Linked DNA regions of Styela clava. The protein of the gene in region 1 binds, or shares a complex with, the protein of each later gene. Links are inferred from orthologs where the notes say so. Each region holds a gene or a part of one and is shown in the gene's direction. Other genes may lie near its edges.

The links.
Region 2: the proteins of uncharacterized protein LOC120329277 (region 1) and dual specificity mitogen-activated protein kinase kinase 1-like are in contact, whole or in part, in a cryo-EM structure (PDB 8BW9), measured with the Drosophila melanogaster proteins. The link is inferred for Styela clava from reciprocal best matches to the Drosophila melanogaster genes ksr and Dsor1. Residues at the interface, in NP_001287177.1 of Drosophila melanogaster: Gln767, Tyr828, Asp830, Met831, Gly832, Leu833, Gly834, Val835, His837, Arg849, Ala850, Leu851, Gln852, Asp888, Gln889, Pro890, Ala891, Glu892, Ser893, Ile895, Trp896, Gln897, Gly899, Arg900; in NP_511098.1 of Drosophila melanogaster: Gly98, Gly99, Lys123, Asp236, Met238, Ala239, Asn240, Ser241, Phe242, Val243, Gly244, Thr245, Ser247, Met249, Arg253, Leu254, Gln255, Gly256, Ala310, Met311, Ala312, Ile313, Phe314, Leu317, Asp318, Val321.

What each region holds. Positions count from the first base shown.
Region 1 is NC_135261.1:19,342,719-19,354,016, forward strand, and holds the start of uncharacterized protein LOC120329277, read left to right. Parts: upstream 1-5,810; 5' UTR 5,811-6,006; coding exon 6,007-6,174; intron 6,175-6,655; coding exon 6,656-6,796; intron 6,797-7,288; coding exon 7,289-7,433; intron 7,434-7,883; coding exon 7,884-8,009; intron 8,010-10,670; coding exon 10,671-11,298.
Region 2 is NC_135264.1:5,106,071-5,117,872, forward strand, and holds the start of dual specificity mitogen-activated protein kinase kinase 1-like, read left to right. Parts: upstream 1-6,793; 5' UTR 6,794-6,924; coding exon 6,925-7,016; intron 7,017-7,634; coding exon 7,635-7,731; intron 7,732-8,280; coding exon 8,281-8,403; intron 8,404-8,890; coding exon 8,891-9,037; intron 9,038-9,143; coding exon 9,144-9,221; intron 9,222-9,868; coding exon 9,869-9,920; intron 9,921-11,088; coding exon 11,089-11,213; intron 11,214-11,475; coding exon 11,476-11,623; intron 11,624-11,766; coding exon 11,767-11,802. Other genes in the region: mediator of RNA polymerase II transcription subunit 4-like, read left to right, coding at 4,876-5,688. UniProt on the Drosophila melanogaster protein: Required downstream of Raf in the sevenless (sev), torso (tor), and Drosophila EGF receptor homolog (DER) signal transduction pathways.

The sequences.
Region 1 (11,298 bases):
TCATTAATATCAAATATAAATAATATTCATGACTGACATACTGCATTGCCCGGGACATTTACTGCAGGTGTGGTGACTCCTGTACGGCCCATGGGCCGGGGCCACGGCCCATCTAATTGAGCCACATGGGCCATGGCCAATAAAGCTATGGGCCGCGGCCCCATCAGGAAAAATTCAATTAACTTACCAAGATTTTAAAATCGCGGGATGCCACCAAATTTTTTTCTCACATAAGCCTTTATATAAAAATAAAGCAAAATACCAAGCTACAGAAAAGGATACTCCTGTAGTATGTGTACCAGGTTAGGGTTAGGACAAAATGTTGTTCAGATTTTTCACATTATATTTCTATTACGAGTTCGGGGACTGTGTTAGCCAAGTGAATAGTCCCTTTACACAACTTGATGAGCCGCGGCCCATAGCCAGATAGGCCGAGGCCCAATTCGATGGGCCGTGGCTACGGCCCATGGGCCGTAGAGGAGTTGCGAGTTAAACTTTGCATTTTCTTTGACGCCATAGAATCTGTTTCGAAGGTAGAAAAAGAGCCGTTTCGACATATCAGTGATTCGAAACGACCAGCACACTACCCACGAACACCCAAAGCACCCAAGGACAATTGCACCGCCGTACATTTGTACCGTGAGCATTTGCACCCTCGGATACGTGCACCGGCGTAAATTTGCACCCAGGTATATTTGCACTCCCAGACATACTCGCACCCACCTACATTTTTTGCACCTATGTACATTTGCACTCACAGTCATGTTCGCTCGCGAATAACTGTGCTTCAGACAAATTTTAATTACTAAGCATAATGACATATTGGAAATGGATACAGATTACAAATTTCAAGTAGCCCATATTTTTGGTTCGGCGGTTGCGTTTTTACTGTCTTTCAAGATATAATCCTATCCCACTTTTGTCGGTCATTTTCATTGAACGAAATAACGCAAACGTAGACGAATTTGGTTAATATACCATGGCAATGAAAACTGGTCATAACTAAATTCATCACGCTTCGAGAATAAATATTAGAAACGGGGACACTAATGAGCGAGAAACGACCTCCACATAGCGCAAGCAGATTTATTTACAGCAGTGGTCGGAAACCCATGGCCCGCGAGCCATATATGGCTCTTTTGGTGACGGCAAATGGCTCCCAGAAAAATCTAATATTCCAAGTCTAAGTTTATTTTTGTTACGAGATTTCAAACTCTTTTATAGCCAAATATTGCAGAAATTGCCAATACGTTTGAGAACGCGCGTCTAGCGCATGCCTATGTTATATAAGAGAATTACCAGACAGGCATTGGGACAAAACTAGGGGATTCTGAAACGTATTTTGTGACATCACAAAGCCATAGCGTCGTAGAGCAATAGAGAAAAGCTTTTCATCCGTCTGTACGCACTGGTTACCATATTTGTCAGATCGGACTATTTGTTGTTAGATCGGACTAGCAAAGCTAGTTTTTAAAATACTACGGAGTTGCCTAAACGAAAGAAGGGTGATGAGCAGGCTTGACCATGGGACATATTTTTTGTCCCATTCCCATCCCATAGCAATTATGCCTGTCCCATCCCATCACATGGGATTCCCATTGGAAAAAATTCAACAAAAATTGTTAAATTTCGGTTTAGCGTCTACTAAACAACTATCAGGACTACATGACCTGATAAAGTGAAGAAATGCTATATGGCTCGCACGGAAGTGTAATTAAAAATATGTACTTTTATGGCTCTTTTGACCAAAAAGGTTTCCGACCGGAAATACTGAGTATGATAGTATATTTCATGGTGTCGGAAAACTCGAAGGATACCAGTTAAAGCTGAACATCGATGAATCTGTGGATCCAGTACATCAAAAACACAGAAGAGTACCATTTAAAACCAGAGCTAAAGTGGAAAAAGCAATTAAAGAGCTATATGAGAATGATATCTGTGAAGATGTGGATAATACACCAACTCCGTAGGTATCTCCTATAGTTGTGGTACCTAAATCCAGTAATCCTGATAATATCCAGATCAGCAGTCGGCTACCTTCCCGGAACGTTTTCCATATTTTTGGGCGAAGCCATGACTGGCACATCATGTTTGTAATGCAACTAAATAATCCTATTTGACTATTTTGCGACGTTAATTCTAGCCTTATATTATCGATTCTTAACCTGGGTGCAATCGAAGCCCTGGGGTTCGGTAGAGCTTTTCCAGAGGTTCAGCGAAAGAACTCTGGAACAGTTTTATACAATGTAAAAATAAATTTATAGTTCACCACAGACTAAATAGTTTACTATATGTACTTTCACAAAGAAATAAGTCTTAGCTATTCCCCCATAGTTCTAACGCTTTAATCGAAACGCTATACATAACTCATACTCCAATAAGTGGGGAACTGGGGATGTCTGTGGACACTTCCCAGTCGTATTGGAAGTTTAGCCGATGCTTTAGAGCAGGGTTCGGCAATCTATGGCCCACGGGCCAGGTCCGGCCCGCGGAACAATATAATCCGGCCCGCGACGCTTCACTGAATTATATTAACAAAACAACTGTATTGACGATTATATTTCTTACGTAACAGAATTTGTTTTGAGACACTAAATTATATTATATCCTAAAAAGTATATAATTCACAATCACTCGTTTAATGATAAATGAATTGATTATAATTATCCTTAGACAAATGACAACAGAACGTGAAAAAGTTGATGCTGATTGCAAATGGTTTAATGGCGCAGAAAATATTCAAATCATCAGTTTTCGCGCGCTGCTTGAAATTTAACTGAAATCTGTGTGAAAAAACGTGATTCATTGGTCATTCCCTCGGTTTTTAACTTTATAAAAATATGTGCGGCACGCGACTTGCAACTTCAATTTTGGCCTGCGAACGACAAAAGCTTGCCCACCCCCACTTTAGAGTCTAAAGTTTAGACAAACTCCTATGGGCTCTAACACTTTCACGTGATTCCACATACCTTGCGAAACTCATCGATGCCACCCCATAACTCAACGTAGGGACGCCTCAACGTAGCTTCCGAAGTGTCAAATATACCGTTAGTTGCAGTGCACTCAACCCATTTACTGCTCCCGTCCCACGTCTAAAAAACAAAAACAATTTCACCAGTGATTTTATTACACCCCACGTAAAATACATAAATGGAGACAATATACATAAATTTAATTGTAAGTGCACAGAGCAATCATTGGAATGAGAATTTAGCAGCACGTCAAGCCGTAAGCACAACAATATAAAATTAAACTTACAGCAGTACTGAATATATATGAATCAATGTTACAGATAAACTGTTTAATAAATTTTGAAAGCATTCTTTAGATAAACTACAATTTTCCATCTTTATTTTTTCGTTCAATGTGTGACGCGTAAGATTTGGTATAAAAATTGTCAAAATAGATATATATTTTATAATTGCAAATTATATACATCCACATTTCACAATACTACCGTACATGAAATACAAGAGAGCTACGCACAAATATATGGACACGTTAGACCAGAGCGAATCAGTCCTTACCGGTACCCTTTGACGCTACCGGTACCCTCAAAAAAGTTCTGAATTTCCAGTAGCAAGAATTTTGCAGAATCAAAACGTACTGCCAGTCATGACACTGACTAAAATCCGTGTTCCCATGGATAAAAAATAATACAGCAAAATTTTAGACGAAATATCAAATTTCATAGAATTCACGCAAAATTTTGAAATAAATAAAAGTAATAGCCTTCTAGCAAAAAAATTAATATGGCAATCCATTTATCAACTGATTAAATGATTCATTACACAGTACCACATTGAAATATATGTGAATAGGTTATTTAGTTTCAGCATGTTCGCTCAGAACAAGTACAAGGATGGCAATTCATTTATCACAGTGAATAGAATGATTCATTACACAGTACTACATGAAAATACATCTGAATCTATGTCCTAGGCTACTCGTGCATATCCACGAGCAATCGGAGAGAAGCATAAAATATGATTGAGCGTATTAGACAATTTTAAGCATGTCAAAGGACCTGAATGACATAGAGATCTTACTGCTAATCGTGATTTAACTACTGAACCCGGGAGCAAAGTGAATATAACCCGGAGAAGTGAGTAATATGCGACACACAAATGATAAAACAAGGACAAAAGCGACCTCTACTGTCGATGATGATTTTTTTTAATGTTTTTTTTTCAATTCCTTGTCTCATCGATATGCTGATTTTTATCCTAAATTGGGATTTAGTAAATATTTTTTTATTTTATTCAAGTATTGAAGCCACATTGTGGAACTATTTCAACCTTACGTTAGATCAGACCTCCTTCACCCTTCATATTTCAGGTTTGACAAGGCCAGTCTGTTCTGTTCTACTACAGTTCGCGTAAACACAGGTCACACTCACAGTACTCGGTACCGGTAGGATAGGATAGGATTTACATATTTACCCCGGGGGAGAGGAAAGCCGATAAGACGGCTTATCCATATGGCGAACCACGGCCTCTCGTCCGGTTACCATTTCAAGTCGGGTATGGGACTAGTTTTTACTGTATTGTTTGTTTTCGGAAGCATGGACTTGGTGGTGGAGGAAGCCGTAACCTACCAGCGGTTACGTGAACCACCCAACGACGGCGAGGAGTCCAGCAATCCTCTCGCACATAACCATCCCTGCATGGGATTCGAACCTGCGAACCCACGCAGAGTAATTAGAGGTGCGGTGGCGAGCGTATTCCTAACGCTTAGCCCGTTGAGCCACACCGCCGCGCCGTAGGCTAGTACCGTAGGCTAGTCTGTGAACGAAGCGTCGTGTTTCGTGTATTTGTTGGACACAATTGGATATTTTCAGATATGGATACCGTATTTTGCTAAGTTGTTGTTGTTGTTGGGTTTCCTGGTGTGCATCTCGCACTCGACCCTGTGTGGGTTGAAACGACTGCAAGCCCCGAACCCTGCAGTAGGCCTATTACTGTATTACAGCATTATTACCGGCATCGTACCGGTACCGTACCGGTACCTACTGTGATATGTTTGTATGTCTAGATTGCGCTTTCCTTTAGTTTATCGTGCAGTGCAATTTGGTGGTTTTGTGTTGATATGGAGGCCCAGACCAGGAAGGGTGTGCACTCAGTGATGTCTTTCAATGTGCATGCATTCTTGGAATCAGAAAACTATGCCATACCGTACTGATTTAAGCAGGCTTAAAGAAGGTATAAGTATACATTTATATTTACATGTATTAAACCTTTATAAAGGTTTTGCCAGTTTCCATGATTTTCCCAATCTCAGAATGTTGTATTTGTTCATTGTTTGTGTTTTGTGTATGATTTTTTTGCGGGAAAATCAAAATATACTTATATTTACAAGCTAAAGTTTATATGCTTGTGCAGTTACCCTAATACTTTAATAAAGCACACAATCTAAATCTGAAGATAATTCTTTTGTCTGAGTTGGTTGTCTAATTATCATTTTTCATTTCACTTCGAAAAATTATATATTGCTGTTTGAAGTTGACTGATGAAATCTTAGAGTACTGGCTGACTGGGCTTCATACAGTCATAGGTATTTTGTAAATAAACAACTAACAGTAAGGCACAGTTTTCAAATTCCAAGAATGTCCCGTCATTTGGTTCAATAAACAAACACATGAATTTATTACCAAAGAAGGACGTCTGATGTCCTTATTGAAAGACAACAATATCCAGACGTCCCCGAAAGAAGGGGTGGCTGTTCATGGGCAAATTGGGATTCTTTGGAAAGAGATTATGTCGCTCAATCTGTTACAGTCTGTCGTACTTACTAATGTCTCGTTGTTTGTTTAATCAAGTTTTCTAGGGTAATCTTTGGTTAATTGTATATCTGAGTTTTTGAAACCTTAATGTTGATGACTGTGTAATATCATCTGCATAACAATTTGTATTCACTACGTTCACTCTTCAATTAAATGAGTTATGGATGGAAACGGATAAATAAAATTTGGAATAGGCAGTCTTGGGATATATCCTCAATGACCTAATGATGCCGGCAGAAACAAAGGCCCGAAATTGGGCTGTTGAATCGGATAATGCAGTCAAAGCTCTTGTCGATATTCAAAGTATGATAGATATTATGTCCGAGCGACTTGTTGCACTTCGTGATTTGCGACTCCAGGAATTTATAAAAGATGAGATTCGATTATTGGAAGTATGCAATTTATTTTAATTTAGTAACTTATTATTAATGGAATTTGTAAATTTTTTTTTCTTCAAAATTTCTTTATTTGAATGCATTGACAATGATATAACAAATTTTTTCAGTCATTGCTAAATCTTTTGACTGTCTTTTTTTACATTTTACATACTACAAGATTTTAGACCGTGTGTAATTTAATAAAAAGACTTTCCTGAATACATTCTAATAAAATAGAATTGACTATATTCAAGCAGACACTATAGCACAAGGAAAATTCTCTCTTAGGTCAGGCATAACCTACCCTGTTTATGGCATTCCGGGCATATGTAGACCAGATTTTAATTCAGTTTTAAGAATTTTCATATTTTTCAATATCATAAAGTGAAAATAATTCCCTCCTTCCCTGTCAATGTTTTGAGGATGAAATTTGTATAAATTTTTATGTTAATTGATATTAATTTTTAACACATTGTCTATATTATGTTATATCTAGGGCAAACTCATCAAACATTTCTGGAGGCAGCTCACAACCAAATGCAAAGTTCCAAAAAAACACTGGACAGTTGATTTTCAGACGTACCCATCATTATCACAATGGCTTACTGTTGTTGGCATAAATAAAGATGTTAATGAGGTATATTCAGTTTGAGGAGTATAGAGATAAAAAAAATATGAGTATGATGATAAAATGGACTAAATTTAAAAAGAAAACATAGGCTTGACGTTGACGCAAATAGGTTTTTTGTGAAATGAAGAATGAAAATTAAATTGAATGAAGCAAAATTTGGAAATATTTAATAATGTTCTTCAATGTTTATCTGTAAAATTCTAGAATATTGAATTGTTTGACTAATGAACTCCATTGGTTTTTCATTGGTTGTTAATTTTAGCTCTCCAGGCTAATCTGGTCTGATCAATGCTCGTGTAATTTTTGAATATTTGATGAAGATAATTACACCATATGGCGTTATAAGGAATAATCATTACCACAAGCAAAAATAACATTTCTTCATACTTAAGATTTCCACTTATGTTTATATTATTTTTTATATTTATTATATGATTTAGTATGAAATCGTGATTTTATGATATGTTTTCAACGTTCTTCGACTTATTTTGTTTTTAGATACTAATGAGAAACATAAACTCGGTGGAAACATTGTTAGAACAAGGTGAACATGAGGTCTCAACAATTTTGCTTGAGAGCGGAGGTAACTCTGAAGATAAAAGAAAATTGTGGACAGCTTTATGTCAATTGAAAGAGTTTAAGGGTAAGATTCTATCAATATGGATCATGTTAATTAAGGGTGATTATCAGTCAATTCAATTCAATATTGTATTTTTAAGAAATTTTGAAACTCTATTTCCGACCCGCATTTATATATATATATATGCTACTAAGTTTCCATCAATTTGGATCATGTTTAGGGTGAATATTAGTTATTCCATTTTGGTAATTTAAAGAAACTTCCGAAACTCTATACATTTTTTGTCCCGTCCTGTATTTATAATATTGGATAAAAGTTTTGTTCCATATCAAGTTATTAATTCCTAATATTATTGTTCGATAGTATCATTATTTATGAAAAACGCAGCATGAATGAAACGAGAAACTCTATAGTTTTAATTTCTGCTGAACCCACATATACTTTTTGTGAAATGATTAATTGTTATTAAGCCTTAATTGAACAAGTATTATATTTTTGTGGAATGTGCCATAGACAATCAAGATAATACAGAAGGAGTATATTGGGATTCATGGTGTAAAGAATCCGCCGAAGGTTTTCAAAATGGCCTCAAAAACTCCATACAAGATGAGGCATCTAATAATTCACAGCCCAAAGCAGGTAGGTCTATTTTGTTTCAAATCCAAACTCTCTATTGTTAATGTGTTGATATATTTTGAGGTCTTTTCACAAACATACATTCTGATATTTGCCTGGTTCATCCAAAATATGTTGTCCTATTAACCGCAAAATGTAAAATTTTCCAACGGTCTGTGTAGCATTTCGAAACTGTCTGAAGTGTGATGTTCTACATAATATGACTCTGAAATGAATAGCGATTCATCAATATTATGCAGAATAATATTATGGTCTTGCTAGCTATCAAGTCCTAAAAATAGATAAATGAGATATACACTAATGAAGAATACTCATTTTAAGTACATTTCTGAAAGGAGTTATGTTTATCAATCTGATGGATTTAATTTGGTAATGGCTACCCAGACAAATATTAAAAGAAGGATCACCTTGGAATGCGCTAAAGGATTTATTTTTAACATACAGACCTAAATTTGTGCTGCCTGTGACGGACAGCTGTGTTGTATATTATTATAGTATCTATGCTCTGACACCAGGCAGGTTTCATTTCAAACCCCAAAATATACCATGTTTTATTATTTTTTGTTATAATAGGGCTACTGATACTGCCTCTTATTCATAAATTATTTATATCTGGCTAGATAATCTGATGATATTAGGTTGAGTGTGGATCATCTGCTGTTATTTTGTAAGATTTTATTTAAATGTGAGACATCATCGCGCTTACAAATGATGAAATTTACTACCAAACAATAAATGTTCTTTCAAAACATTTTGATGTATCATAGAAGATGTAATTCGAAACACATAATGTTGATTTTTGACATTATCATAGTAGTGTAAAATTTCTATGAAGTTAATATGGTTGGGATGTTGCTGTGCAAATTTGTGATATCTGCTATTAGTGATTTAGGAATTGATATCTTTAGCCCAATCCAATACTGTATTACTTCATTGTACCAGTTTGTCAAAATATTTTTTCTCTTGAGGGAAGGCAGTGTACTATTTAGTCATTAAGCTTGACCATAAATTCTATATCTTTGACTTTTACAATTACAACCCCCAACAATGACATCTCCTCAATCATAATACTGTAGAAATTATAACACTAGGCTTATAATTGCCTCAAGACATTAACATTACTTTGATAGGCTATAGAACAAAAGGCATTAGTTTATAATACTTCATTACAGCCATATTTTAGGGATTTACAGAACACTAATTACATGATGTTATCTCCCCTTGAGCATTCAGATATGTAATTAGAATATTATGGTTTTGCCTGGTAATAAGTTTTTAATAGGCTCAATACAGATATATGTGTGGTATATATATATAGGTCTCAAGCATCAGATGATATAAAATGATTGAAACGATCTGAAATTATAGACCATTTCTTTTTTTCTTTTTTAGATATTAAATATATAAATATAATAAAGACTTTTTATAGCTATTTTTTTATTTTGGTCGGTTATATTATGTACCAGATAATAAAGGAGCCGACAGCCATCTTGTTTTTGTCTGCTGATCATTGGTGGTCATGGTTTACTATTTTTTTTTGCGCTTTCGAAATTCAATTAAACTCGCAAAATTTACAATCCTGTTGAGTTGATCGTAATAGCTATTCAACCTAGTTAACTGTAAAATACTAATTCAAAGTTGCAAACTTGCAATAAAGCTGTTGACTTTGGGTGAACTAATCGCTGGGGTTCTGAGTTGAATAGTAGATATGCTGAGTTTGTATTATGTATATCGTATAATATATTTCGTAAATCGCTCTTGTAGAATCAAACTTGAACTACTGATTTGCCTGATTCAGGGAAAATTGTTTGTTTAATTTAATTACCGGTAGCTTTTTTAGTACAATTCATCTTTATACAAAAATTAATAATAAACGTATGATTTCTAAAACAAACCCAAATACACATTAAGTGTAATGCCATCTAATTTTAATAATTTCCAACAATTTAACGTCAAATATAAATAAAAACATAGATGAACCTCAGTCCTCAAATACAAATGCTTCATCATCAATTACCAAATAGCCTCCTCATTGATAAGCCCACCTTTTTATTATTACAGTATTTGTGAAACCTCTATTATAAGTATACTATAGTCTATAGGTACCATGATTGTGTGCCATGTATATAATCAATTTTTGAACCATATTAGTATCGTAATCTCGAATCTTATATCCTTAGAGTAAAAATACGTACCAACAAAAGTAGCTAATAGCATTATATCTAATTTTGGTTTGATTTTGATAAAATAAACATCATACTCTTTGGTGATTTGGAGAACTAATTTTTTTTTTCATTTGAATACATGTGGATACACTTTAAAATTCAAAATTTTTAACGGAATCTCATAGCATTAAATTAAATAAGTAATTTCGATGCGAAGTTGGTAGTCGAAGACTCGAAGCTGGAGTCATTTTCCAGATGATTTTAAAGGAGATTGAAGTTGAAGTCTAGTGTAAAAATTATTTCACTCCACAGCACTGCTTTGTACTTAAACCTTTTTCATGGGTTAGTTTTAGGGGGTATACTTGAGTTAATATATTTTTATTTGATTGCTAATTAGGGATGCTTTTATATCAGTGCTGTGTTCTGAATTTGAATATTGGCCTTGCACATGTGAAGATGCGTGAATCGTTCATTTTCTAATTTTTTTGTCATAATTCAGAAGTGGATCACAATGAAAATTTTCGAAGAATTGATCAAAATTGTGCAAACACTTCAACAGATGAACAAAGACATGCGAACGATTCTCGACCCCAACGGAAACATGAAATTCTAGTCCATACAGCCTCTGGAAGGACTACAGCGCCTTCATGGGCTGATGGGGATGGCCAAATTCAGTCTCCCCCAAGTCCATCACAAAGCTCCAGAAGTTCTCTATCGTCGTGTGGTCCACCTTCTCCACCATATGGTGCTAAGCTACATGGTTTTCCTCAAAACGCATATGATGGAGGCACTCGAACTCCTCCTGCGAATATGTTTACCCCCTCTTACATGCGTCATTACGCTCAAGATCATCAAAATGTCTCAAAAACTCGTTCAGGCCAGTCGTCATTGACGAACACTCCGCCTCCAGTTCGAGCAACAAAATCTTCAGAATCATCGATTCCACCTCAAAATAAAGCCGCAGCAAACTTGCTTCTACCGTTTGGCCCTATGAGGACCGCTCGCTCATACGAATGGCAAGTTGGGAACCATATAACTAATGTAGGTGATGAGAGTTTGACAAATTCTAATGTAAGTCTAACCTCAATCAATACTTTACCGCCACCATCTTCATCTGGAACATCTGG
Region 2 (11,802 bases), on another chromosome or scaffold:
GTGCCGGAAACAAACAAACTGTGGAAGCCAGGGTTTCAGAAGAGCGGGATATATTAATGTTTCTGCAATGCATTGACTATGAAGCACCCCATCAATCGTGGCGTCAAGTAAACGAGACCGTGGATCGCATAATATATGTCTGCGAAAAACACAGTGTACTAGCACCAGATAAAAAGCAATATCAAACTGTACCACCCTGCCGCGCCAGACAAAAACAAATTCCAAATGTAGGATAGAATCGAGGCCATCCACCACCGACAAGGCCAGATGATACATAGGCATAGCCTCCGTGGCGTCGATCGTGCAGTATTGGCGATGTGTCCAGTCCCGAACAAAAACACGACCCCCATCTGCGTCATTTCCTGGCAATATACCCGAATCCCAATGGCAAAAATAGCGACAGAAAACAATAGTTATATATCACCAAAACCGCCATCTTCAAGACTGCCCCATCTCCACACGCACAACTTCAAAGCTTTTCAACTGAATTCGTCTACAGCAGCGATTCCCAAAGTCGGCAAAAACACTTTGTGACAATATAAATGATGCTTTACATGCAGATAAGCAAATTCAAGAAGCCTACTATTGGCGACGAATTAACCCACCATCAGTAAAGGAATTGGACCTTCTGGAGTATGTGCACCAAGATGGCGCACAACCTGAACATAGTATGTGTGCCAGGTTTGGGTTCAGGTTAGAGATGTACCGATACCACTTTTGTCGCCGATACCGATCCGATACCAGCTAAAAAAGCCGATACCAATACGCCGATATTCGAAAACGACCGATATTGCCGATACTATGTAATTATTACCTCAATTGTGCGGGGCAGACGGTTTAAAACAATAGTCTTTAAGCATTGTTAATAGTGCGCATTATTTCGGATCAAAAAAGAGAAATATCACATATTAATAAGAAGTAGATGTTTGGGATCCAAATGCGCAAATTGATTCAGATGCATTGAGCACTGACGCTAGTAATCTCGGCTCTTTATTAGAAAACTAGTAGGATTTGGCTACTGTTGGTGGTAAAATAAATAAATGTTTAGCCTACTTATCGCATGAAACTGATACATTGAGTAACGTGCGTAGGATTTTGTGCCAATATAACGTCGTATTTTAAATTATACACATCGGAACATCCACTAATATTCGATTGATATAATTCTTCATAATTACCATGTAATATTAAAAATTTTAATATAAAAATTCGGCAGCGAAAATACTCAAATTGATTGACCCAGTTTGACTGATAAATTGCTTAAAACACGTCAGCGGGTGTGGGGGCGTACAATGGCTCAAAAATAATTTCAAGGTTAGTATTCTAACCTATTTTTTAAAACATTCTGAATCATATTGAGAAGCTAAATATATCGGAAATATTGGTCTAAACTTAGCCGATACCGATACACTACCGATACTGAGAAATTGGCCGATGTTGCCGATACCGATACATCGGCACATCTCTAGTTCAGGTTAGCGACATCTTGGTGCACATACTTCAGGAGCACCAAGAAATTTTCTGATACTGTTTTGCATGAAAAGGCGCCGTCTGTAGTTATTGGACACGTTTAGTGGACATAACAATCGTTTTGTTTTTATGTTGTTCTTGTTCTTGTTGTTGTTCGACACTTTTTGGACACCTAGTGGAAATATTAAAAAGCCGCTTTTCTCTTTGATCACTGGACCAATTGCTTTGAAATTTTTAGTGGTTAAAGATGAAATTTTTCTCCAGAAGGCTATTACTTTTATTTATTTCAAATATTTCTGATAGCTCTGTAAGATTTGTTTTTGTTTGCTATGACGTCATCGAACGTTCTGCGGACATCGGACGCCATTTTGTGCCCTACTGTACTGCTTCGCTTGGTGTGAATATATTTGTAGAATGTGATCTGACGGTACGGTAAACCGTACTGTACTGCGAACAGACGTGTCCATATATTTGGGCGTAGCTCTCTTGTTTCATTGAGCAATGATAAAGTACAGAAACGAGTTGATTTTTCAGTCATAGTCATGAAGGCAGTAAATAAAATAAACGCGTGCTAAACACTCGCTCACTTAAATAATTATGCAATGAAAGTGATGAATGCATTTGAGCGCTTACTAGCCTTACTTCACACTGAAGTAAGATATGGCTTTCCATGGATATCTATCTGCCATACACCAGCAAGACGGGTATCGCTGCTCGATGACCAGCATTTGATTTTCGCGGAACTTGGAATGCCATTACTACGTTTACTCCTATTCAATGTTCGAACCAAGTGTATATTAAGTTTGGTGAAAAAATAAACTACTGACTGACTGATTTCACACCCTTTTGATACTGTTGTTGAATTCCAGCAGTTTACTTTCATGGAGAATAAATCAATCTGATAAAGATGGATTGGTTCCAATAACACTGTCTGGTTCCAATAATAGGCTCGTCGTGTATCAGTGAAATATGCCTGGACGAACATTTTTCCAATTCTAGTTTAGTATTATTCACGGACGTGGGATTCTTGAAAAGGAACATCAAATTGCAAAAAGATTTTGAACTCAAACAAATGTTCAGTGTTCCATAATAATTGTTCAGAATTAAACCAAATTAAAATACCCTCACGTGCGGGATCATGTAAAAAAAAATCCTTTAACAGCTCATACCTGTGCCATGACCGCGCTTCTAGATTACAAGAGTAACCGCATTTGACATCGTTGAAGAAACATAAGACCGTTTCTGACTAAAATGAAGCCGGATATTGATAAGCTAGCTGGTGACGTTTTATTTTGCTCACCCATCTCATTAGGCTAATGATGAATGGAGAATAAATTCATTTATGCTTATCAGTCAAAGGTGAAGCGAATGCGCTCTACTTTTACATAAAAATCACATTTATTTTGTGATGTGATAGTGGAAGTACACTCCAGCATTTACGGATGGCGCTGGTGGTGTCGCTGCCTGAAGACCTCTTGAGGTCCCTCGCGACTCCTGTCACACAATTTAAGTTAGTTTCCACTTGTATTTGTGATATTTTTTCATATATCATACCATGTTTAAATTGTGTTGACGAATAAATGATGATTGATTGGATGGCAAAGGTATAAGCAAAGAAGTGTGAATAAAATTTGTTAATATATGCTTTGGGGAATGGCAGCTGCTACGTAACAAAAATATAAAAAATCATTAATGAGCATATGGATTATTTATGCTACTTTAATATCCGGTTATTATATTTGTTTAATTTTGTCTGTACATTGTTTCATGCACGACGAAATAAATACAGTATCTGAATCTGTTAACCGTCACAATGCTATCCGGATATCAGGTAGCAAAATACATTTGGGTTAACCGGTTTCGGTATCCGGACAATTCAACCCCACATCAAACATGGAAAACAAACGACTGGTTAACTAATCAGACTAATGGGCGGTATTGCTGTATTGTTACGATATTTTATAGGCTACTCTACGTGCTGACCTGTGTCTTTGTCATCAACGTACCGGGTACCGGTACTGACGTAACGAATATTGTACGGTACCGGTATTGAAGTTCACAAATACCGATACCTACGGTATGTCATTAAGGGGTCTGGTATAGTTTAGTACCACATCCACTTCTAGTTGGCCTGGCTCAACAATTTTTGCATATGTCAATCCTAACCCCCACCTGACTACGTCACCGAAAAATTACGTCATTCCGACGTCACAGTGGCGTAATAAGGCCCACCGAAGTATGCGGATGGTCGTCCAAAACGCGCAGACGATAACCCGAAATCGAGCAAGCTATTTCTCTCGTTTTCTCGTCGCAACGATCACGATAGGAGAGAGATCGCCGGCCTTAACAAGTTCTTATCGGCGGCGCAGATGCCATTTCGGGCGATGGTAATTATACTTTGGCAATCCCTATGACGTGATGGTGACGTCGTAGTGACGTAATTTTTGGATGGCATAATCAGGTGAGGGTTAGGAGTAACATATGCAAAAATCGTTATGCTACGCCCACCGGAAGTACCGGCACTTGTGGTACTAAACTATACTAGACCCTCATTAAGTTATATGAACGATTCTTTAACGTACTAATATAATGTCATTACCCTAAAACTTACAAAATCATTGGATACTGGTGTTCCTTATTAAAACATAGGTCCGCTTCCTTAAGAATCATGTTGCAAACAGTATTCAGGTATTTTTTTTATTTAAGTCAGTAAGTAGCCTACATTTAAATAACTAGGGTCTCTGGGTTTACAAAATTGAATTATTTTTTAGGTCAATTTTAGAAGAAATGAGCGCTAGACTACGGTATAGGTTCGCTATTGTTTTGGAATGAAAATGTAAGTAAGTGTAGCTCCTCTGCATTTTGTTTGTCCGTTTGTTGATGTTTTGTTTCGTTCAGAGTGGCCAAAATAAAATTGATTGATTGATAGCTCTATGCAGCTATGAAACAGAAAATAAAAGTTCTCCGCCTAAATAAATTGAGTTCATTGAATGTATTTTTTCCAACAACATTATGCATTATTATTTTATCACAATTTATCCTTCAGTTATTTTAAATTTGTATTAAGTCAACGGTGATACGATATATTATACTAATGTAAATAGAATCAGATTCCAATCAAAATTAAATTTTTTAAAAACTTACATCTGTAATCCTTCCTTTAATTAAGATAAACATAATTTATTCCTAAATTGTCAAACTTAAATTGTCAGGAATATAAGATCATATATTGGGTTGCGGTTATTTGCGATAAAGTTCCGTCTTTGTTGTAAACTATTATTACAGTATTATTAACAATAAGAAACTTCTTCATTGCAGGCATAATTTTAATTCAGGGTATTTCAATATCATAATATTGATATTCAAATTTATTCTTCAAAAGTTATTATCGAAAAAAGATTGGAAATGGAATTACAACGAGGAAGCATCAGCACTAAACAACAATTAATGGCTCTTGTTGAAGACATTGATCTTATTACTCGGCAATTGTTTGAAACTCTTTCCCAACAGTCATCAAGGCAATCTTCAACCAGTCAAACTTTCAATTCTCAAAATGATGAAGCTATCCCACAAAAAATGAACGTGAATCAGCTTACTGATCTTTTGCTTCAAAAAAACAAAGATTTAGAAGAGAAAATGGCAATGGCACGCGACCAACAACAACTTCATCGTGATATCAAATTATACAAAGCTGAAATCGCACAAAAAAATAAAGAAATTGAGGTTTTACAAAAACACCTAAAAGATGCGGAACATCTTTTATCCACTGCTCTATACCAAGCCAAAGAAAAACTCAAATCGATCAGAAGAGCAAGAAAAGGTGCTGTTCCTTCTGAAGATATCATTAAATATGCTCACAAAATAAGCGCTGCATGTGCCACGGCAGCTCCATTAAATTGGGCGCCAGGTGACCCAAGACGACCCTATCCACAGGACATCGAAATGAGATGTGGTTGGCTGGGACAGATTAACAATATGACAGATGCAAATTCAACGATTAAGCCACCGCCGCAGTTAGGAACGGAAGGACTTTCTGTACCAAATTTAGTTGGTATGTCGCGATCTAATGATATACAACAACCACAATGGGGCAACCAATCAGCATCTGGTATGGACGGAAAATTTGGATATGGTCAAAAAGGAGATGAAGAGGTTGAAATAATGTCCTCTGATTCATCATCAAGTTCATCTTCGGATTCTAGTTTCGGGAATGATTAAATTATAGTATTGTCAGAATATTAGTTTTTAATATTTAAGGAATACTCACTGCCTGTTTTCTTTTTTAATTTCTGTTATTTCTTGAACTCTTTAACGCTGAAAATTGTTCCAAATTATATTATGCTGGTTGGAAAATGGAAAAGTTTTCAAAATACCAACAAATGTGTTCATTTGATGCAAAATTGTCATAATAATCCAAAGTGTAAAGGTGTTATGCAAACTGGTGTTTGAGATTTGTATTTTCATTCACGTATTGGTATTGATATGAAAACCAGAGTCTAAAACATTTATAATAAGATGCAGAGAACGTTGTAACGATGTTGTTTACTGCATAGAATAGCTTTGATGGTTTATCGAATCATTCAAATTGACAAAAATCATGTTTGAGTAAATTTGTTTTCTTTGTTACAGTCATCATTATGACTAATTGGAGAAGAATTTCAGAATAGATAACTTTTAATACGTGGGAGTGTTGGCCTAGTGTTTAAAGCATTAGGCCTAACTATGATGGCATCACAGAATAAAATTTCAGGTTCAAACCAAAGGCCACCCCCTCGCGCAGGTTTTAATAAATTGGGTAGGCAATACCAAACCGGAAGGATCCAGATTTTTCTAGAATAAGTTACAGTAGCTCCTTTCATATCAGTAGAAATGAATTTTTACTTTTAAAAGCTGTTATCTGTTTAATTTCTATTTGATGAAATATTTAAAATTTCATAAAAAATGCTATCTGGGGAACAACTAGATTAAGTATGTTGTTATACATAAATACCAATATTTGAAGTTTATTATTTTGATCCTAATACATGAAAGTTCGAATATAGAATATCCCTAATTTTTTAAAAGATTATTATTCAAATTAATTGAATGCTTGGGGTATATTAATATATGCAGTTGTTCCTAACCCCTTCTATCAGTGCATTTTTTCTGTTTTTTGTGCCAATTGTGACCGAAATGTAGCATGATGACACAATTTTACTGCCAAATCTGTTTGTCTGTTTAAAAATCAAACTTCATGGACTGAATTAGTTCTAAGATTTTGAAACAACTAAATATTCATAAATTGATTCTGAAGGATCGTAAATTTTTTTTTTCACTTTTACACCTTTGAGCAATTACTCTCTCTCACAGAGTATCATTTTTTTTGTTTCTTAGGTTTCTGTAATAAGACTTGTTTGTAATTGACCGTCTAATTTAACTGGGGATAATAGAGTAGAGTGTCAATTGATAAAAAAAATGGCTTCCAAGAGCAAACGTCCTCCTCCGTTGAAGCTTGGGATATCTGCTCCACCTCCAGCTGAGCCAGTGAAAAAGGGAGATATCACACAGTAAGTGAATTTCAAATTTTACACTAACAGTGAAAATAACAAAATATCCATTATGAAACCATTAAGTTGTCTAATGCAGGTTTTCCCAAATTAGGGTCCGCGAACCCCTGGAGTTCTGTGATGACTGCACAGGGGTTTGTAACGATATGGGAAAAGACTGTTCGATCTTCAATGATTGATTTGAATCGAAAAGTCATTGTATCTTTTTGGTTGGGTGTTGTAGACGGATATCCATTACTGTCGAAAAAGGCAATTAAAATTCTAGGCTATTGCCTTTTGCAATGAAATATATATGTGAGTCAGTATTTTAGCTCCTAACAATTTGATGCCAAATAACAGGTCGAGGAGTCACCTCATTCATCACATTAATGTCGTTTCTGTTGTAGTGTTGTAAATGAAATAATGTTCTTCCTTGTTGGCTAGGCACAAAAAATTATTCGGCATATGATATGGGTCTTTCAAAAGTAAGATTCACAATAGAGGTACGAGCCCCTTAAAGTTTGAGAAACTCTGGTCTTATGCATGAGTTGTATTATATTTTATATAATATTTTTGGCAACACCCTATCTTTAGCTTTTGAATATAATCATTTGATTCATAATCATTGATTTCTTTCAGGAACATTGTAAATAAAATTGGAAAAAGTATCGAAGAACTTGAAATTGACGATGTACAAAGAAAGAGATTAGATACTTTTCTGTCTCAGAAAAAGACGGTTTGTCACTTTCAGTTTCTCATTTAGTACTCTAGTTTTAATTTTTTTTTTAATATTTGCTCAAAGTAAGGTTATGAGAACTCACTCAAAAATCCTAGAGAATGATGGGCAAAGCTTAGGGTGACCTCTATAATGCTAAGAGCTATTGACACAATTTGTAAAATGGGTTTTTGGGCCATGGGCCAAAAATTTTGCCCACCCGGACAGGCAGGCCATCATGTAAGTGTTATATTTTATGAACAATATTTTCAGTGTTACGAAAGCAAAAGTGGAAAACAATAAACCTCGTGCCCAAACTAAACTTAATTGCAATTTCAACAAATTACTTATTTTTCAGCTGATGTATTAAAGTTTGGTTGTGGCCTCATCATGTGGGCCAAATTGATTTACCCAATGGGTCGGATTTGGCACAGTTTGCCCATGTCAGATATAGAATTATAATAAGAAATTCAACAGAAGTGCAGGAGAAAATTCGTAACTTTTTACCCAAGATATGTATCATTTTGAATGATTGAATTATTTTCCATTCATAATTGTTACATTTTTTAGGTCGGAATGTTGGACAGTGCTCAAAAAGTTGATTTTTTAGAGAAGGCTGAAATCGGTGTTGGAAATGGCGGAGTTGTTCATTTAGTACAGCATAAAGAATCTGGTCTGGAGATGGCACGAAAAGTATGATAAAAATTCCTATTGCTATCCCATTTTTTGTCACCGTGTATTTTTGGGTACTCCCGTAGTGTGTGTACCAGGTTAGGGTTAGGCCACAATTTAATTCCGATTTTCCCTAGTTTAGTTCTATTACGAGTTCGGGGACTGTCTGTGTTAGCCAAGTGAATATACCTCTGCCCATAAGCTTCCGTCCCTTTATACAACTTGGTGTAAAATAGGCGAACAAAATTACCTCCATATTGGTACACATAGGCTACTTCTGGAGCGCCAACTAAATCTGTATTATATTTTTGATGGGAAAATTAATGTTTGTTACACGCTATGTTAATTTATGTCATGCAATGATCTATTCATATAGTTTGGATCCATATTTTTTTATCTCTATATTTATGATTTCCATTTTATTTGCTGGAAAATAATATAAATAAAGTATTGTTTCAACTGATTTATTTGAATTATTATGAATCATCATTCTACTTTTATATTTCAGCTCATCCATTTAGAACTGAAACCAGCAGTACAAAATCAAATTATCAGAGAATTGCAAATTCTTCACGACTGCAAAAGCCCTTATATTGTTGGATTTTACGGAGCGTTTCATAATGACAGCGAAATCAGCATATGCATGGAAAATATGGTATGACGGAGTTGATTAAAATTGGACGTAAACTTGGATATTGTCATTTGTCAATATTGTTATTTTTTTGATTCGACATTTAATGGTATTGTTTTATTCATTTTAGGATGCCGGTTCCCTTGATCAAGTTCTGAAAAAAGCTGGAAAAATTCCTGAACCTATTCTAGGAAAAGTCAGCATTGCGGTAGGATAATATTTTTTGTAATAAATTTTATGTCCAAATTTTTTCCGAGAAACTCACTCAGTTATGTGGAACTCACTCGGTATTTCCTCACTCAGCTCATCAGTCAGTTTTTACTCAAATACAATTCTAAAACTTTAATAATGATTCATACTCTTAGTAGCACTTTAGTCGGTACCTTTGCTCAGGGATTAATTTCCTGTGAGTGAGTACGCATGATCCTGCTTTGAATAAATATTTTCTAAGGAGAAAACAATGCTACCATTTTCAATAAACCACACGGGATATTGTGAGGCTAATCTTTTTTTTAAAAGATAAGGATTAAATTTTCAGGTTTTCAAATAATATTGTATTGTTTCAAGTTGTAATTGTTGAGCTTTTAGATTGAAGAATCATCGACATATTTTGCTAATATTGAATCCAGGATTTATTTCTGAATGGCAAAAATAATCTGGATATTGAGACTCAAAATTTTTATATTAATTTAAAATATAATTATTACTTGTGTTAATTAGAATTGAAGTTTTCAATACCAGTGCTACAATTGTTTTCATTTAAGTAGAAAAAGCAGTTACTGATATTGCAATGTTCTCGCTGATTTTTCTTGTTAATATAACAATTTTTGATTGTTTCCAATCATATTTTATCAGGTACTTCACGGATTGAGATATTTAAGAGAAACACATAACATAATCCATAGAGGTTTGTGTTGTTTAATGTATGTTGTTTGCTAAGTTTCTGTTGAGTAATTGATTGAAAATATTACTTTCTTTTTCATAGTAATATAATATCACATATTTACATGGTTAGTCATTTTATAAGACGTCTTCACATTTCATAGCCCTTCATGAAGTTACAAGTCCATATTGACTATGGAACAGAGGAGTACATGCAGGATTGGGGCTAATCAAGTATGCCCTCTTAAATCAAAATTTCTGATTTTAGTCGAATATTACAATTTGTCCAGTGAATAATATGTTCCGCCTAAATTCCAAAATGAAGTAAATATTCTTTTTATTGATAGAAGTTTAAATAGAAAAACATGGGTGAATATGAATATAAACAATATAGGCATAGACCCCGGCATCGTTTGTCTCTGATGTTGCGGACTTGTGCTAATTGTAAGAAACACAATGGCACCTATTGTACCACTAATTAATTATTATCCATCCCACTGATGCGGACCAATTAATTTTGTAGGGCTTAACCCTGACATGGGCAAACCATGGCCCGCAGGCAAAATCCGACCTGTTGGGTGATTCATTCTGACCTGCCTGATGCAGCCATAAATTTCTGCTTCTAACCAATCTCACATGCACTACATAGTTATTGAAATATGTATGGTGCAACGTGCAATAGGCTTGTTATACTATGATTGTAATTGTAATACTTTCATGTTATGGATACGTCAACGATACTTCACTTTTTTTTTTTCTATCACTCGATTCGATTACATGCTTTTAACACCTTTTTGTGTCGCCTCGTGTGCGGTCACGCGCAGCCCTGAAGTTTCAATTTAGTGCCTAAAAAGTTTTGGTAACATCCGCATAACGCTCTCTTCTCGTTCTTTTTTGTTCGTATCTTACGCATTCTTGCCATGTGAAGTCTATCGGTTCTCAATGGTTTCTGAAAAATCTCCTACTGCATCCTTTTTATTTACCCTAATTCGTGAAGATTTATAGCTTATTTATTCCGTCACACTTACATGGCTCGTCAGTCTGGGTGGGCAAAATTTTAAGCTATTGTCATCTCTCTTCCTCAGTACCCCAAGTCTGGCAACTCCTTTCCACAGTCCTGAAATGATGCATAACAAAAGCAACAAAAGTGTTTTGTAGGCTCGGTTTTAAATACTTTTTTCATCTCATTTCAGATGTAAAACCATCGAATATTTTAGTCAACTCAAGAGGAGAGATAAAACTATGTGATTTTGGTGTCAGCGGACAACTTATTGATTCTATGGCTAACACCTTTGTTGGTACGAGGTCCTATATGTCAGTAAGTAAAAAATCTTATTATCCTAAAGGATAACTATTATCATAGTAGATATTTAGTACTTTATATTTACAATTTGATTATTTCTTAGTCTTTCCCAAATTTGTTCATTTTTACATATGGTCAAAAACATATGTTATCTGAGCAAATTTATGTCCATCAGATTGCAGGCATTTTAATATGGATTGGTGATTATTCTTGAAGAATTATTCATACGGTATATATTATACAATAAGATGTTTTAATATTTTTTAACTCGTTACAGCCTGAACGATTACAAGGAGCACCATATTCAGTATTGTCTGATATCTGGTCTCTTGGTTTATCATTGATCGAAATGGCGATGGGAAGATACCCTATACCTCCACCCACAAAGCGGGATATTGATGGCATGTTTGGACCCAACGCTGCAAGTAGGTGGACCCCAGTTCTGTTAATGCATTCAGTTATGTTATTTTTGTCCCTAAATAGCTTTGTAATGGTTGTCGATTCGATGGACTGCTATTCTTCATATGTGTTGGTGAATAATTTGATGAACAAAAACTTCTTTTTCCAGGTTTTGTACCGGATGCACCTCGGCCGATGGCTATAT